Daphnia pulex: one gene and its partner. The main gene of each other region encodes a partner of the protein of the gene in region 2 in a complex. Links are inferred from orthologs where the notes say so. Each region holds a gene or a part of one and is shown on either strand. Other genes may lie near its edges.

The links. Proteins that work in one complex are often made in the same cells at the same time.
Region 1: FACT complex subunit spt16-like (region 2) and FACT complex subunit Ssrp1-like share a complex: the UniProt entries of both Drosophila melanogaster proteins name them as parts of the FACT complex. The link is inferred for Daphnia pulex from reciprocal best matches to the Drosophila melanogaster genes dre4 and Ssrp.

The regions. Positions count from the first base shown.
Region 1 is NC_060026.1:11,625,640-11,637,601, reverse strand, and holds FACT complex subunit Ssrp1-like, read left to right. Parts: upstream 1-5,750; 5' UTR 5,751-5,918; coding exon 5,919-5,969; intron 5,970-6,041; coding exon 6,042-6,227; intron 6,228-6,294; coding exon 6,295-6,510; intron 6,511-6,577; coding exon 6,578-6,753; intron 6,754-6,810; coding exon 6,811-6,946; intron 6,947-7,022; coding exon 7,023-7,126; intron 7,127-7,188; coding exon 7,189-7,317; intron 7,318-7,390; coding exon 7,391-7,498; intron 7,499-7,561; coding exon 7,562-7,745; intron 7,746-7,805; coding exon 7,806-7,911; intron 7,912-7,963; coding exon 7,964-8,265; intron 8,266-8,335; coding exon 8,336-8,935; 3' UTR 8,936-9,037; downstream 9,038-11,962. Other genes in the region: urocanate hydratase-like, read left to right, coding at 42-140, 217-310, 393-501; matrix metalloproteinase-2-like, read right to left, coding at 765-880, 956-1,077, 1,193-1,331, 1,419-1,563, 1,660-2,114, 2,179-2,337, 2,415-2,542, 2,608-2,710 and 4 more; coiled-coil domain-containing protein 25-like, read right to left, coding at 4,433-4,514, 4,582-4,784, 4,842-5,021, 5,092-5,183, 5,246-5,318; uncharacterized protein LOC124205820, read right to left, coding at 9,902-10,021, 10,082-10,365, 10,433-10,637, 10,712-10,866, 10,940-11,195, 11,330-11,665. UniProt on the Drosophila melanogaster protein: Component of the FACT complex, a general chromatin factor that acts to reorganize nucleosomes. The FACT complex is involved in multiple processes that require DNA as a template such as mRNA elongation, DNA replication and DNA repair.
Region 2 is NC_060017.1:5,830,657-5,836,377, forward strand, and holds the start of FACT complex subunit spt16-like, read left to right. Parts: upstream 1-1,207; 5' UTR 1,208-1,465; coding exon 1,466-1,534; intron 1,535-1,600; coding exon 1,601-1,861; intron 1,862-1,932; coding exon 1,933-2,081; intron 2,082-2,146; coding exon 2,147-2,300; intron 2,301-2,358; coding exon 2,359-2,507; intron 2,508-2,567; coding exon 2,568-2,682; intron 2,683-2,739; coding exon 2,740-3,039; intron 3,040-3,116; coding exon 3,117-3,152; intron 3,153-3,214; coding exon 3,215-3,391; intron 3,392-3,455; coding exon 3,456-3,548; intron 3,549-3,612; coding exon 3,613-3,715; intron 3,716-3,803; coding exon 3,804-4,002; intron 4,003-4,075; coding exon 4,076-4,457; intron 4,458-4,544; coding exon 4,545-4,727; intron 4,728-4,795; coding exon 4,796-4,927; intron 4,928-4,987; coding exon 4,988-5,157; intron 5,158-5,221; coding exon 5,222-5,659; intron 5,660-5,721. Other genes in the region: adenosine 5'-monophosphoramidase HINT3-like, read right to left, coding at 1-85, 147-213, 266-383, 593-673. UniProt on the Drosophila melanogaster protein: Component of the FACT complex, a general chromatin factor that acts to reorganize nucleosomes. The FACT complex is involved in multiple processes that require DNA as a template such as mRNA elongation, DNA replication and DNA repair.

The sequences.
Region 1 (11,962 bases), on a different chromosome or scaffold from region 2:
CCGTGTTTAAAAATAAAAAACGAATTTATCAAAATGCACAGACATGGCCGTCCAGAATTGCATCGGCGACTCTTTCCGAGGTGCCACTTGGGTCTCCTTGCACAACGGCGGTGGCGTCGGTTGGGGTGAAGTGATGAACGGTACGTTTTAAAAAAATTTAAAAACATGTTTGAAAAAATTCGGAATGAAACAAGTTTTAATTATTTATTTTCCTAGGCGGATTTGGGCTTGTTCTTGACGGATCGGACGAGGCTCACGAACGAGCCAAGAATATGCTCAATTGGGACGTATCGAACGGAGTCGCTAGAAGGTTAACAACTTTCACCTAATTTATTCACCCTGCTGGAATGAAAATAAACCACCAGGATTAACTGAATTCAACTGTTTTTTAGGAGCTGGTCCGGAAATGCGAACGCCATCCAGGCTATCCAGCGAGCCATGGCGGCCGACCCTCGACTGAAAGTGACTCTACCCAACCCTGTCGATGAGACAACCTTCTAAAAGCAAAAGGGGGATAATCTTGTCGAATCGGCAGAAATTTCAAAACATTCCAATCAGCGTACATTTCCGTTTAATCATTCCGTCTGATACGAAAGCGGCGGCGTATAACATACAAAAGTAGTAGCATTTTTTTTTCTCTCAAAATATGAAATAGAGAAACAAACCAACAAACAAATAAGTACTATGGATGTATGTATAAAATGTTAGAGGTCGTATATCTTATCATTAGATTTTTAATAAATGGGGAATTTTTAAAATGGAAATTATTCCGGACATCCCAGCCAGAAAGGTGTGGCTTCTTGAGGGTAGCGCATGTCAGTGCGTACCAGAGTGTCGTCGAACCGCCAAAACATTTTGTTTTTGAAGAAATACGTTCGCCCTTACAAGTTTACAACACAAAGATATAATTAAAATTTAAGGGAAGTTTAAGCATTTAAAGAATGAATTGAATTACCATCAGTCCACTGCATGGCTGCGTCTATATCGGACGTTACACCTCTCCACCTGGACAGATCGTGCGGATAGCCGGGATCCATTTGTCTTTTAACGTCGTCGTAGCGCCAGTAAAGATTCTTTCTAAAAAAAAAAAAAACAATCGGAGAAAGAATTAACCTAAGTTATTTTTCAAAGTTTTCTAATCGACGCCACGGCCTCGATTATTCTTCTCGTACGTCAAAAAGATAAAAAATACCTAAAGAAGTAAGTCTTTTTATTCTTGCCCCAAACGAAAGCGGCGTCTAGATGGTCTAGTCCGTCCGGTAGTCCGAGCCAGCTCAAATTCGAATTCTCTTCCACCATCCGGTCACCGTCAAATACCCAATAACTTGAACCTATTGAATATTTTTAAAAATAATTAATTAAATGTGTATACAATCTCTACCGGATGGCCAATCAAATTAAATTTTATTAATATATACCGGAAAAGAAGACAATGTGTCCATTAGGACGCTCGTACAGTGCGTCCACTTTGGGCAAGGATTCTGGAAGTTCGCGAAAGAGATGGCGGATGTGGGTTGGATATCCATCGTCTATTGCAGCTCTTTGACGGAGTCGCCAAACGTACTGCGAGCCAAAGGAATCACATTTCCAATTTGCACAGAAATATAGCTGCTGGGGGGTATAACTATTCAAATAGAGAAGTGTCCGGTATATACTTACTTGACCCTTGAAGAAGAACAGCTCGTTGCGGAGGACGGAAACGGCGTCAAAGTGGCCCTGGCAAATATCCGGAATCCTGGGTGATTGATCTTCGTTTGTGGCGTTCAACTTCCTGCGATGGTCATCCACCGTTTCGTAGTCGCCCTCGTAATTGATCGTCACCGTTCTCTCGGTCGTCGTCGTCGTCGTAATCTCTTCGTCCCTTACAAAAACGGTCGTCGCTTCCGTTTTCCCGCTTCCGCTTTTCGAACTGTGATCGTCGTCAACCTCGTTGTAGTCTTCGTAATCATCGTAGGGCGTTGTCGTCCTAGACGTGGGTCTTGTAGGCCTGGGCTGCGTCGTCGTGATGGTCGACACCTTCTCGGTGGTAGTTTGGGGTTTCGGCGTTGTGGTGGTAGTGGTGGTTGTCGTCGTTGTAACATCTTCATTCCGATCGTCGTGCACTTGCCTCGAAACTATATAATTTAATGAAAACAATTTTCAATTGATCGATGAATTGTGAGTGGCAAATTTCCTTACTGTAGAGCTGATACATTGCTAGAATGTCATCGTAATCCAATTGAAGATTCGGTTGCGATCCTTTGTAGTAGGGAAACATGACGGAGCCCGGCACGGGGGAATGTGCTAGTCCTAGGGAATGCCCTAGTTCGTGCGTTGCCACGGTGAAAAAGTCAATTCCTTATGAAATATTTAAAACGAAAAAGAAAATTGAATAACACAAATTTAGACTGGAAGTTTTATAAGAAGGGACTAACCGGAACCCTCGTCCGGGTTAACGGTCCACGGCTCGTCTTCATCGAAATGAACGTCGCCACCGAAATTGTCAAATTCATAAGGGTAGTAAGCATGGGCTAAGGTGTAACCAACACCGTCGAAAGGATACCTGCAATTTTTTGGTTTAATTCAATTGAAATAACTTGAACACATTTTATAGGTGAAATCTATAACCTATCGCCATGGTATCCGCGACCGAAAAGGATAGTGATGTCCGCGTCTGGAGTTGGTACTTGCACAAACTTGAGATGGGCATAATCCGACCATACCTTGAAGGCTAAAAAGATCAAATTAAAATAATCCCGAAAATGATAAAGTCACAAGAAACAAATTTACCTCTTTCAAGTTGTTGAATTGTCGTTTCTTCATCGCCTACTTTGGGCGACCAGTTAGCTAAACTTTCGAAACGCAAGGGAAATGAATAAATGATTAACAGTTGCAAAAAGGCTTGGTTGATTAGCTCTTAAAACATTCTTACAAGTAAGTGATTCTTCGTTTGTTCCAACCGGGTGCGCCGACCACGAACCTTTTCCTTCGCCGTCTGTTTGACTGCTGTTCGCTATTATCCAATTCCACGTCTTTGTTACCGCAACGAGGAGTCACCAGCAGCTTTATTACGTTAATGATAGGTTCAGATTACAATGTTACCAAATTTTCGTTAAGCGGAAAATGAACGGGAAACAAGTTCACGAACGGTTTCAGAGGGCAACAAATTTACTTGTAAGGTGTCGTTGTCCATCCTTCCAGTTGGCGAGAGACCCCCGAAACTCTGCATGGTTCTGATTGCATCAATCACGGCTTCTTCTCTGTACAAGGCTTCCGAGTTGGAATCCTGGCGGCCTTCTAGGTAACCAAATTTTTGCAGAAACCCCATCTTACCAAAAAATGAAAGGATTAAGATTAAATACGAACTTTAAATTTTTCGATTGTTTTGTTGGTTACATAATAAAACGAACGGGACACTTACAACTACGTTTACAGTCGCTCCTTCAACATTTCTTGGGGATGCAACGTTATGATTTTCCGTGGGTGAAACGTTCCGAATCGATTCCGGAGAGGACAAGTTTTGAGGATGGATTGACGCTGATGGTTTGGTGCTCACGGACAGGGATGAAAGCGGAGGCTGGGCGGTGGTGACGACGGCTGGAGCAGCTGCTTTTAGGCTAGAAGACTGGGGAATTTTTCTAGTGGCGTTAATTGGTTTAGAAAGTACTGGGGCGCAGTCAGAGCCCATAGAACACATCAGCCAAAACATCAGCAGAGACTTGAACGTTAACACGGAATTCGGCATTGCGCTCTACTCTAGTCGAGACGGAGTGGACGAAAGCACTCAGCATACACGACGGTATCCACTTGAAGACTGAATTCCGTCTCGAACGTTTTAAACTTGATGTCTCGGTTTCACTTTTGAGGTCAACTACCCGTCCAACAGATTCTGACGTCGCAGTAGGAAGGAAATAAATGTGAGAGGAAATCCGTATTCCTTAGAGATCCTGGTTTCGCTTCCGACTAATAAAATTAAATAAAAATTTCTGTTTGATTTCCTGAATGAAAACCAGAAGTCTTGGTTTACACCCATTTTCTTCCGCTTTCAGACGGAAGTTGCCAATCTTTTTGGGGGTGAGAATCACTTCCTGTGTTGCGCGACTCTGGTGCTCAGTGTGGTTTCGAAACAATATTTCAGTGGTAAACAATAACTATCGATGGGCATTTGATGACTTAGAGAGATCTGCTCGTCATCATAACCTTTGGCTAATGTAAACAAAATGTCAAGATCTGAAAATTGGTCATCTGGAATTAATCATAGCTATACTTATAATCTCCCTATATTAAAATATATTAAGAAATTATGTTTTATTTCCACATTTTTATTGACCAAGAGAAAACTCGAGTCAAGTGCGAGGAATATTTTAATAGCACATATACTTCATACGAAAAGGCTGATCGGTTTGTGATCGAGTTCGCATACACTCGGCTGGTTGTTAACGTAAGCGATTTCTTACATGAAGTCATCGGAATCGTTTCCATCATCATCTTTATTGGTCTTCATGTTCGTTTGCTTCAGCAAGCGATCGTAGCTCCTAAACATGTAAAAATTAACATTTCTGTGTAAAAAAATAAATATAGTGTTTAGTAAATCAAGGTCACCTTAGTTCAGCTTCATCCTTTTTTCGCTTTTCTTCTTCTCTCTCCCTTTCTTTTTGTTCTTTAAGGAGCCTTTTCTTGTCGTCTCTTTCTGCACAGTCTCTCTGTTCTCTTTCAAACCTTAAATCAGGTTTTTTCTCAACTTTGGTTTTGTTGAGACGGTTTACAATTTCATTAATTCTTTTCTCCACCCTAATCTTGCGAACCTATAAAACTTGATTGTTAGATAATGGATAGGAACACATTAAGAAGGAAATCTGTACATCTTTTTCTTTGTGAAATCCAACTTGTCCAACTTCCATACCAGGAGTCTTTTTCAAATTAGACCACAGGGTGTAAACAACATCAATGTTGTTCATTTTATTCCCTTGGATGCTGTTCGCTTTACATAATTGTGCTGCATCTTCTAAAATGGCTGCTGGAATATCATCAATTACTTGACCCTACAAATAAGAATAGTAACAGAGCTGTATTAAAAATTGTTTTATTTGATTTAATAAAAAAAACCCTTACCTTGTTTAGTCGTATGTAAACATGGGCTGACGATAGCTTGTCAACGTGGAACCAAACATCTTCAGGCCATCCCCACTTGATCAACTCCTCATCTAGTTGTTACTACAAGGATTAATAATCCCATTTTATATCTTACTGATTGATTACTTCTTACTTTCATGTTTTTCTTCTCCCATGAAAAGTGCGCAACTGGGTTGAACGGCGGTGCTGACGAAATAGAAAACCATTTTAAATCTTAAAAATATAGTCAACTAATTTGAGAGGGCCAGCGAGAAAACATTCAGATCCAAATTCCAATTTTTTAACACGTGGATATACTATTTTCTACAATAGTAAATGCAACTTGACAATCCGCCTTGCGGCTGACAGTACTTCGGATAACACTAGAAGAATACGGTCGATCCCTCTTGACCACTTTTTGATCTTTTGATCATGTAAAGCTCTAGAAAATCTATGGTAGTGAGTGCCATCTGGAGTCTCAACATTGTAGAATCCACATTCCACAATCCTGAAATCCTATCCAATCCAATCAACGAAAAATCCTCTTCCCCAGTTTAAATTTCTACTTAAAAATAATTTTTCTATTAAACTATGATTTATTTCAAATGTTCAAATACGGTATCAAATATCTTTAAAATCTAGCGTTGCCCAAACGAGTTTCACTGGCAACGCTTTATGGCCATTCCTTATACTTCTCCGCTCGGCGCGAAGTAAAATAACCGACTGCTGGTGTTTTACATTGTTACGATTATTCTCTTGCTTTCCAGCTCGTCTAGTTGGATTTTTATTCATTTCGCCAATCGGGATTACAATTTTTTCGTTGTGTGATGGATTTTTTAGAGTTCTCTGATGTTTCAGCTGAAATTAAAGGCTCAATGGTAAGAGGCTCGCTAAATTGTCATATCGGCTGCACGTGAATCTTCTTCTATTGACAAAATTTTTTCTTCTAGACTCCAGGCCGTCTAAAACTAACGGATCAGAGTATCGTGTTCAAGAATTCCAAAACGGGTAAAGTTGAACAGATAAGTTCTTCTGACATTGAATTGGTTAACTGGCAGCGACTAGCTGGTGCTTGGGGACTACGTGTATTTCTCAGAACCGGAGCACTTCATCGCTATGGTGGATTTAAAGATTCAGTAAGTAATTTTTTAACATTTGAAAGCTTTTTTATTTTCAATTTCCTATTAATTTGGTTTTGTCTAGGATCAAGACAAGCTGGCAAAGTTTTTTACTCAAACCTACAAAAAAGACATGCTGGAGAAAGAGCTGAGTGTCAAAGGATGGAATTGGGGCCGTGCTGAGTTCAGTGGTTCAACTATGTCTTTTGAAGTTGGAAACCATACTGCCTTTGAGATTCCTCTAAGCAATGTGTCCCAATGCACAACAGGGAAAAATGAAGTCACCTTAGAATTCCATCAGGTGGGTACTATTATGACAAACAATGCTGCAGACATCTTACCTACTGCTTTATTTTCTCTAAAACTAGAATGATGATGCATCAGTCAGTCTGATGGAGATGCGTCTCTTCATTCAGTCCAATGATCAAGGTGGAGATGATGCTGTTGAAGCATTCCAGAAGCAGGTGATGCCTAAAGCAAGTGTCATCAGTGCTACTGGTGATGCAATTGCCATCTTCAGAGAAGTTCAGTGCCTCACACCAAGGTATTTTCTATCATTTGTACTTAAAACATTTGCTCATTTAGTTTTTATCCTTGACAGAGGTCGCTATGACATCAAAGTTTTCCAATCATTCTTTCAACTTCATGGTAAGACATTTGACTACAAGATTCCAGCCTCTACTGTACTTCGCCTGTTTTTACTTCCGCACAAAGATGGTCGGCAAATTTTCTTTGTAGTAAGTTACACATCTCTGAAAAAGAAATTAAGAAAAGAATCATCATTAATCTACATATTTTTATTGTGTAATTCAGGTAAGCCTTGATCCACCTATTAAGCAAGGTCAGACGCGTTACCACTTTTTGGTCCTTCTCTTTAACAAAGATGAGGAGACATCTTTTGAAATACCATTATCAGAGTGAGTAATTTTGAATAATTCAACATTTTCAACACGTCATCAAAAAACGTTTGTCCTAACAGGGAGGAATTGAAAGAAAAGTTTGAAGGCCGACTTTCTCGTGATTGTAATGGTCCAACTTATGAAGTTATGAGTACCGTCATGAAGGCCATGGTTAACCGAAAGGTCACTATACCTGGAAATTTTACTGGGTAAAATTTTATATTTTCATTTCAAGTGTTCTAGACTGATTTCACAGTTTCCTTCTTTTTTAATTATTTATAGCCATTCTGGAACCCCCGCTGTTGGATGTTCCTACAAAGCAGCAGCCGGATACTTGTATCCGCTAGAACGTGGTTTTATTTACGTTCATAAACCTCCTATTCACATTCGGTAGAATTCGTTTCCCTGAAATTTTTGTTTGCATATTTTTTAATTTATTCTTCCTTCGCACAGATTCGAAGAAATTGCAAGTGTTAACTTTGCTCGTGGCGGAGGAAGTACCCGTTCTTTTGACTTCGAAGTTGAGACCAAAAATGGGGTTGTTCACACCTTCAGTAGCATTGAAAAGGAGGAATATAACCGCTTGTACGATTTCGTAAACAACAAGAAGCTCCGCGTCAAAAATACTGGCCGATCCGTAAGATCTAGCAACCCATTGATAGTGTTTGTACTAATCAGTTTTTGTTGTACGTAATAGGACAAGTCCGCTCATGGGGATGATTTTGGCGATTCGGACGAAGAGGAAGCGCCCGACGCATATTTGGCTCGTGTCAAGGCTGAAGGCAAACAGCGTGACGCAGTTGGTACGTTTTCCTTGCTTAACGAAACAAAAGCCTTTCCACTAACATGTGCCAGTTGCAGGTGACGATTCGGGTGGAGATTCTGATGAAAATGACGAAGACTTCAAACCTGGTGAGGAAAGTGACGTAGCAGAAGAATACGACTCCAATGTGGCTACGACCGACTCGGAAGCATCCGACGCATCAGGTGGAGCCAAGGCTAGTAGTGCTGCGAAGGCTAGTAGTGCTGCCAAGGCTGGCAGTGGTTCTGGCAGTGATTCCGATTCCTCGTCCAAAAAGAAGAAAAAGAAGGACAAAAAAGAGGAGAAGGAGAAAAAGGAAAAGGAACCCAAGAAATCCAGTAGCTCGAAATCGGCGGTAATATCATCTTTCAATTTGCCAATAATTTCAGAATTAAAGTTTTTATCGTTTATTAATTTTGTTGTAGGCCCCTAAAACTCCCAGATCGCACAAATCCAAGAAGGATAAGGATGCAAACAGGCCCAAACGACCACAGTCGTCGTACATGCTGTGGTTGAACGACTCACGCGAACAGATTAAAAAAGATAACCCTGGCATAAGTGTCACAGATCTGATGAAAAAAGGTGGCGAAATGTGGCAGAAGGTTGAAGATCGATCTATATGGGAAGCCAAAGCTAAAGTTGCTAAAGAGGCCTATGATAAGGCTATGAAAGAATATACTGCGTCTGGAGGAGGATCGGCAGTTGCTAGCAGTTCTTCCAAAAGCAAGGACAAAGAGGAGAAAGCCGCCAAGTCGTCCAAGTCCTCTAGCAAGTCGTCAACCAAAACGCCAACTAAAACGCCAACCAAAGCTGCTAAAACAACTCCAGTTAAATCTCCTGGCGACTTCAAAAGTAAGGAATACATCAGCACCGACGAAGAATCCTCCTCAGCGTCTGAAGGCGCCAAGAAGAAGTCCAAGGGCTCCAGCAAGAAGACTGACAAGAAAAAGGTTGAAAAAGAAGAAAGCGAGGAAGAAGAAATGGAAAGTGAACCAGAGTCCAGCGATGTGGCTGACAGCGATTGAAGTGGGTGTATCACATTATAGTGTCATAAAAACGTTATTATAAAGGCGTCCGTTGTAGCTGCGTTCTCCGTTATAATACAATGTAATTTCGTTTCTTTATAATCGCCTTTCTCGACTAGTCGACTACATGTGGATGAAATGTTTGAAGACCGAAGTAGAAACTTCCATATTCCCTACATCAAACTAGTTCCCGATCCTTTTAAAAATAAAATGTTGACCACTGAGTAAAGTTAACCAAGCGGACAGATTAAATATAGTCTCGATTGCCACAAAAGTTGAACCATTTCAGTCTAATTTGGTTAAGTTCTCTGAACTGACTACCAAACCTCCGAAAGAGATTTTTTTAGCTAACCCAATACGAAGTTTGGGTCTACGTGATAAACGTATCTATTACGGTAATAGATACGTTAAGTATTACCCAGTATTAAACACAAAACCCCTGAAACATTCTCATCCTCTCGAGATGGTATTCAATTATGTACAACTGTATGTAGAAAAAATGCATTTCAACCTAACTTCATTTTGTTTATTTCTAAAAAACAATTAAATTTCTTTACTACACAAATTCATTTACAGTTCAAAGGGAGTCGACGATTTCCTCCTCCAACATGAAACCAGTGAAATGGGTGTGGTGGAAATTGTCATCGTGCAAATACGCTCCTGACGAAAGGTAAGAAATTTCTAACCAGACTGTATCTCCTTTTTGTAAGTTTAGAGTCGACTGGAGGGTCACAGGGCTCCATTGATTAGCGGAGACGAAAATGGAATCTTGAACCGACGCGAGTCCAATTCGATTGCCGTTCAAAAAAAGAGAGACTTGTAAACCGAATTCATTTTTCACACTATACGATGATAAGCAAGAATCAGAGCAAGCAGGAAAAAACGCCAGTCCCGCGAAGGAGAAGAAATAAGTTCCCTTGACGGATGCCTTGAATTTTCCTGATGGGTTCATGGCCTTTCCGACGTTTACTTGCTCAAAATCAAACGTAATTGGGGTGTTGGGCTTGTTGAATTTTTGGTTTCTCTGAACGTAAAAATATGTTGGCACCGATTTGACGTCAATGTATCCAATAAATTTCTCGAAACCTTTTCGTAATAAATCAGTTTTAAATTGAATAAATAATTAATGCAAAACAAATATTTTACCGGGATCTTGAAAAAATCGGTGAAATCACAATAAACAGATTCCATCATTTTATGTCCTTTGATGGAAAAGAAACCGCTCAGGGTGTAACCCATATCCTTTAGATCATCACAGGACGTTGGCATTGGAGTAGCGATTTCTGCAGGTTTTGTCGAGGGTTCTGGCTGTCTGGAATATCCGGAGCATGTCAAATTGCCCAGTGTGTGGATACCGGAGGAAGATTGCGATTGAGTTCGACCAAAATGAAGGCGAGTGATTGGTAAAATATTTTTGTCAGTGATAACACCTGAACGAATCAAAATGTTTTTGAGACATATTATTTTTAAAATTTTCTGATGACATGACTGATTTACCTTTGTCGGATAACTGCCGTTGTGCGAGACTGTCACAGTTGCACATGACTGAAGAAACGGCACAATTCCCATCAATTCCACACTGACAGGTGGGAATTCCATATGCGTTGTTTCCGGCCCAGAAATATTGTGAATTCCCATTTCTGTCGTTCCACCAGGAGTACATGGTATTTTCCAATTTGTGCGGCGCGTTGAAGCAATCGTACTGGGATACATTAAAAATTATGATAAATTCCCTTAACAGGATAGCTACGGTATTCAGATACCAACGAAACTTACTGTGATCGACTGACGGCATTCACTAGACAAATCGGTCAAAGCTTTTATTTGTGCCATGGACGCTTCATATTTGATGGAACGCGAATAACATCCGGCCCCTGCGCAGTGATCCACGTTGATAGGAGCGAGACTATCGTGTTTAATTGTGGTCGATCCTTATTTTTAAGTAAAGAAAAGTGAATGTCTTTTTTTGTTTCAATTAGCGAAGGAAACACAAATTCATTTTACCTGTTGTCATGTCGCAGTACACGTAAATTGGAGTTTCGCCGACGCCTTGTCCGTCCGGATCGATCCATTGCATTCCGGATGGAATCGAAACATCCATTGCACGGATTTCTGCGCACGTTCTGCGGATCTCACCCATGGGAATATCTGGTATTTTACGCGCGATCTGATCAAATATGGAAGGTAAAATCTTTTCGAGTGTTTTCACTTTGGTCTCCAGTTCCGCTACGTTCTTCAACAAATCTTGTTGTTTTGCATTCTGTTGTAGAAATAGACGCATGTTTTGTTTTATTCCCCAAAAAATAAATGATCAAATTAATCTATCCATTATAGTTAGCCACGAAAAGGTTAAAAGAAAAAGGGTGAAGCTAAGTATATAGAGATTAAACGTACACTGTTGTCGAGTTGATTCTTCAGTTTCTTTACCAGATTTTCAAGTTCTCCAATTTTAGTCTGAACATCGTCTGGCTTGGTCGACTTAGCTGGCTCGGCTTTCTTGATTTTGTTGGGCTTACGCGGCTTGTTGACTAGGCCTAGTTTATTGGCCGACTTGTCTCCTGGCTTACCTGCTGTCTTACCTACTTGCTTGTCTCCTGGCTTCTCCGTCTTGACTTCTGACTTGGCCGTCTTGCCTGAGTCGCCTTGAGCATCAACAGTACCGAAAGAAAAACAAATAATAGAGCAACATAAAATTAATAACACGGGGATAGAGAAACGAATCATTTTCATTCTTTCCGTCTTAATCTAACTGGCTCTGGTCACAATTTGGTGTTTCAATATATAGCCATTTCAGAGCCGAGCGTTGGATCCGGAGTATGATTCTTGCCCGTTTTTATGTCAGGTTTTTATCTTAAATGGATTATACATGTAATAAAACATACTTTAAGCTTTAAACGTTTCTATCTGAACATTTATAGCTATTGCCGTTGTGCAATGTCCATGAGGTTTGTTTTAACGTTAAAAATCTTCAGAAACATCAACACAAAATATTTGACGAAACTAGACGAAGATTATAACCACATGTTG
Region 2 (5,721 bases):
TATAAAACTCATAGCACTCTCAGGAAATATCACGTGTAGGTGCAGATGTTTAATAGAATTAAAAGGAGGCCAATGAAATCCCATTCTACAATTTAGTTGAAATCATTACTACCAATTTTTTATGAGGGTAAGAATCCATATGATACCTGCAATCACTCAAGTCTCCTCCATGATTCTTCACAAGTTGCTGTCCTACAGCTACCATTTCTTCAACTAATAAAAAAATATTGATAAGTTTATTTGAATTGATAATCAGGCAATTTACCCATGCTGACTGTTTCTATGGTAAGACTTTTAATATCATTGATGTGATCTCTAGGAATGACTAGAAGGTGGTTTTTAGCAGATGGTTTGATGTCATTAAAAGCCAAATATTTTACATCCTATTTATGAAAGGAAATACAGCATTAGGAAATGTATATCTTTATCTTATTAAGTACCTTATTTTAATATATCTAAGCCATTTCTTACTGTGATTTTCAGGTAATAGCTAGTCTACATTAGATTAATTGATTCCCTGGAAGAAAATAAACCTATTTGCTACAAAACGCATAATTTAATTGGTCAAAAATGAGAGAGGAAGAGCCTTAACCTGATGAACGATAGTTGCTGGCGCCAGACCTTCACAAATCTGGCAAAAAATGCATTTGATGGACTTTTGTACTGAAACCATTTTTAGGGAATTGTACTGTTTGTTTGTTTGTTTGTTTTTTTTTGAAGATAGGTGCACTGGCCGATTGTACTGTTTAGTTCAGTCATACGTAAAAATATTGACACTGACTGAGGGAATGGACTTTTCGCGTAGTCTGCAATTCTGTAAGGATGCCAAATTCCGAAAAGCAACAAGTTGTTTGTCATGATTTCGAATTCGAAGTATTCACTTAGATTCATGCAGTAGGACATAAATATCCTGTAGCATAAAAATCTTAAAAAAAATAAAAAAATATGCATATTTCCAGAGCTATAGAATCCCTGGTCGGTTCTCGGCTGTGTTGGCTTCCCTATCCCGGTTTCAGGGTAAACGTGGTCCGATTTGGAAACTGGAATGAGCGCTCTAGTGAGTGTGTCAGCTACTACGCTCAGCTACTTTTGAGAGCCTAGATGGCTCTGTTTCTAGTTTCCAATGACAGGCCCCGCCCTAAAACCCCCTGAAAATCGGACCACGTTTACCCTAAAATCGAGATGGGGAAGCCAACACGGCCGAGAACCGACCAGGTATCTATTGCTCTGATATTTCTGAAAAATCAATGGATAATATTATTATTAAAATCATAGTTGGCAACGCCCAGGTCTTTATGAACTTCATTCTGCTTTTTAGAGGGAAAAGCATGGGTTGCGTTGGGTAAACGGTCTGGCAGTTTTTTGTAACGAACCTCAGTACAATTTCGCCATTCCAGATTCGTAGTTTCAAGTTGAAATATTGCAGTTTCCCATTCGACTTGGATGATCCCATTTGTTACTGAAAATGGGAAGTCTCGCTGCAGATAGAGAGGTGTTCTTTCGAAGGATAAAGCGATTCTATTCGTCTTGGAAGGTAAGTTGGCGTCAAACAACCATGACAGTTGGATTTCATTTCATGCAATGATATAATATCTTATAGAATGAAGACTCTGAACTTGGGTTTGCTGATATGGATGCATTGGTCACAGCTTTGGGGGCGGATGAGGAAGTTGTGTACAGCAAAACATCTGCTTTACAATCATGGCTTCTTGGATATGAATTGACTGATACAGTTATGGCTCTGTGTGAAGATTCCATCTATTTCCTTGCAAGTAAGAAGAAGATAGATTTCTTACGCCCGCTGGAGGCAATTAAAGAAGAGAAAGGCTTGCCCGCTGTTAAGCTGTTGATTCGTGACAAAGTAAATCATGATACATATTTTCCATGTTAGAAACATGGAACTTCAACAAAGAAATTTTTCTATTTTTTTAGAGCGACAAAGATAAAGCCAATTTTGTGAAACTTATTGAAGCATTGAAAAAATCTAAAAAAGGAAAAAAGCTTGGAGTGTTCTCAAAAGACAGTTTTCATGGAGAGTTCATGGATGCATGGAACAATGCCATCAAGAAAGAAAAATTTGAGTAAGAAACATTAGAAAGTGTTATTAGAAATATATAGATAACAATGTGTGAAATCATATTTTCAGGACAGTTGATGTTAGTTCTGGGGCAGCTTATATGATGGCTCCTAAAGAAGAATCTGAACTGAATGTGATCAAGAAAGCATGTCAAGTATCTGTTGATTTATTCAACAAATATTTAAAAGAACAGGTTATGGAAATTGTAGATGCAGATAAAAAGGTTTGAAAAATTTATTATTTTTTTTTCAATGGGACTTAATTTGAATTTATTTGTCAAGGTCAAACATTCAAAATTAGCCGAAGGAGTGGAGAACGCAGCCACTGACAAGAAATATGTTTCTGGTGTCGATACGGGTCAAGTTGATATGTGTTATCCAGCCATAATTCAAAGTGGAGGGAATTACAGCCTGAAATTTAGTGCAGTGAGGTACATCTATCAATTAGCAAACTTTATGTGAATACATTAATGCTTCTTTTTATTTCACAGTGATGATAAACCCCTTCATTTTGGAGCAATTGTTTGTCTTTTAGGAGCACGTTACAAATCTTACTGCTCCAATATTGGTCGAACCCTTCTTGTCAACCCCACTGAAAAGATGCAGGTAAAGAAAAAGATATTTCCATAAATGAGTCTAGATTACATTCTTATGAACTTGTAGGAGACATACAACTTCTTGTTATCGGTTGAAGACGAAATTTTGAAATCTCTCGTCGAAGGAGCAAAGTTTAGCGATGTTTATAATGCTGCTGAGGCATACGTAAAGAAAGAAAAACCAGCCCTTCTTGACAAGATGACAAAAACCCTTGGCTTTGTTACCGGAATTGAATTTCGAGAAAGCTCTTTGGTGATCGGCCCGAAGAATAACGCAGTTGTCAAAAAAGGAATGGTCTTCAATGTCAATCTTGGATTTGCTGACTTGGAAAATTCTGATGGCACCGATGATCGCTATAAGAAATATGTATTTATATAAATTAATAATATTTATTTATTTATTTGTTTATTTAAATATATATTATTTTATTTTTAAAATATTAGGCTTTGTTTTTGAGCGACACTGTTATTGTATCCGATGTAAGTTATAATTTTGAACTTTTTCTTCTACTTGTTTTTTTGACGAGTAACATTATTTTTAGGGTCCAGCTACTATACTTACTGCTTCGAAAAAAAGGATTAAGAATATCGGTATATTCCTTAAAGATGAATCTGGAGAGGAAGAAGAGGAGGAGGAAGAGGACGAAGAAAAGCCATCACGACAGCCCCAGAATTTAGGTCGAGGCAAGCGGACCGCTATTCTTGATTCTAAACTTCGGGTACATAGTACTTTTCTTCTTATCATTTTCCATTGTTATAATTTATAATTTGTGTTTCTTTCAGGAAACATCTACCGAAGAAAAACGTAAGCAACATCAAAAAGAATTGGCTTCTCATCTAAATGAAGAAGCCAAACTTCGGCTTGCTCAGCAGAAGGTAAAGAAGACAAAAAGAAAATAAATGTGCAAAAGAATAACATTAAAATCTGATTTGGTTTTAGGGACGCTTGGAAGGCGATAAGATCCGGAAATCTACCGTGTCATACAAATCCGGGAAAGATTTGCCAAAAGAAGATGAAGTGAAGGAATTGAAGTTATATGTTGGTAAGCCCATAATTTCTCAAATATTTTTGAATGTGTGCTCTCAAATATGTGCTACAAAGAATGAATAATTCCACATTTAATATTGTAGATCGAAAGTACGAAACGGTCATCATGCCCATTTACGGAATTCCAGTTCCTTTTCACATTTCGACTATAAAGAACATCAGTCAAAGTGTCGAAGGAGACTATACTTACTTGCGTATAAACTTTTTCCACCCGGGTGCAACCATGGGTAGAGCTGAAACAGCTGCGTTTCCAAACCCTGAAGCCACATTCCTCAAAGAAATGTATTATCAAGAAAAGTTTCATTTTTGTTTCTTTTCATTTATATAATATTACATTTTTTAAATGAACGTTTAGTACATACCGAAGCACCAACATCAAAGAACCTGGAGAACTGTCATCTCCCTCTTCAAATCTTAACACGGCGTTCCGTTTAATCAAAGAAGTGCAAAAGCGATTTAAAACACGTGAAGCTGAGGAAAAAGAAAAGGAAGATTTGGTTAAGCAAGACACCCTGCTTCTTTCTCAAAACAAAGCCAATCCTAAATTAAAGGATCTCTACATCAGACCAAATGTAGCTCAGAAAAGAATTTTGGGTTCACTGGAGGCGCATACTAATGGATTTCGTTACACATCCGTAAGAGGAGATAAAGTAGACATCCTCTACAATAATATTCGACATGCTATCTTTCAACCGTGTGATGGTGAGATGATTATTCTTCTGCACTTTCATCTCAAGGTATGTTTTTTCCTTTCAGTTTTTCTACATTACTAGGCATAGTATATAACCAACGATATATATCAAAACTATCACTTTACATTTCAGAATGCCATCATGTTTGGAAAGAAAAAGCACAATGATGTCCAGTTTTACACCGAAGTAGGTGAAATCACTACTGATCTTGGCAAACATCAACACATGCACGACCGCGACGATCTGGCTGCAGAACAGGCCGAACGAGAGTTAAGACATAAATTGAAAACTGCTTTCAAAACATTCTGTGAGAAGGTACGGTCTTGTTAAATGAAATTCTAATTGTCTGTGATCCTTTTTTAACGAATTCCAAAAAAATTAAGGTTGAAACCATGACTAGGAACGAGGTTGAATTTGATGCTCCTTTCCGTGAACTTGGTTTCCCTGGTGTACCTTTCCGCAGTACAGTTCTCCTTCAACCCACTTCAGGATGTCTCGTAAACTTAGTAGAATGGGTAGGTTGACAATTTTTTATAATTATAATGGTAATATTAACAATGATTTCATTTGTTTAGCCTCCTTTCGTCATTTCACTGGAAGACATGGAACTTGTCCATTTCGAACGTGTTCAGTTCCATTTGAAGAACTTCGATATGGTCTTCGTTTTCAAAAATTATCATCGAAAAGTGGCCATGGTGAATGCCGTACCGATGAACATGCTCGATCATGTCAAGGAGTGGCTCAAGTAAAGAAATTCAGACATCTTTGTGTAATGTCCTGTTGATTCTTTATTGTTCATCTCTGTTTAGTTCGTGCGATATTCGTTATACAGAGGGAGTTCAATCCTTGAACTGGTCAAAAATTATGAAAACGATTACGGATGATCCAGAAGCTTTTTTTGATACCGGAGGATGGACTTTCCTTGACCCCGAATCGGGCAGTGAAGGTGGAAGGGGATCTGACGAGGAAGACTCTGAGGAAGATGAATACGCTCCGACCGACGTCGATGATGAAGAGGATGATGAATCTGACAGCGAATATTCAGAAGCAGATTCGTCTGATATGTCAGACGATAGTGACTCGGGCAGTGAAGAAGGTGGTGGCGGTAGCTCCGACGAGTCGGGTAAAGACTGGTCTGATCTTGAACGTGAAGCTGCCGAAGCCGATAGAGAGAACGTCAATTTTGAGGATGAATACTCAAGAAGCCGTGGGGGAAAAGGTGCTGCACCCCCACCTCCATCTAAAAGGTATAGTGATTGCAAGTGTTTTACCGTTACAATCTTCAATAACGTTGCTTTCTTCGACGTTT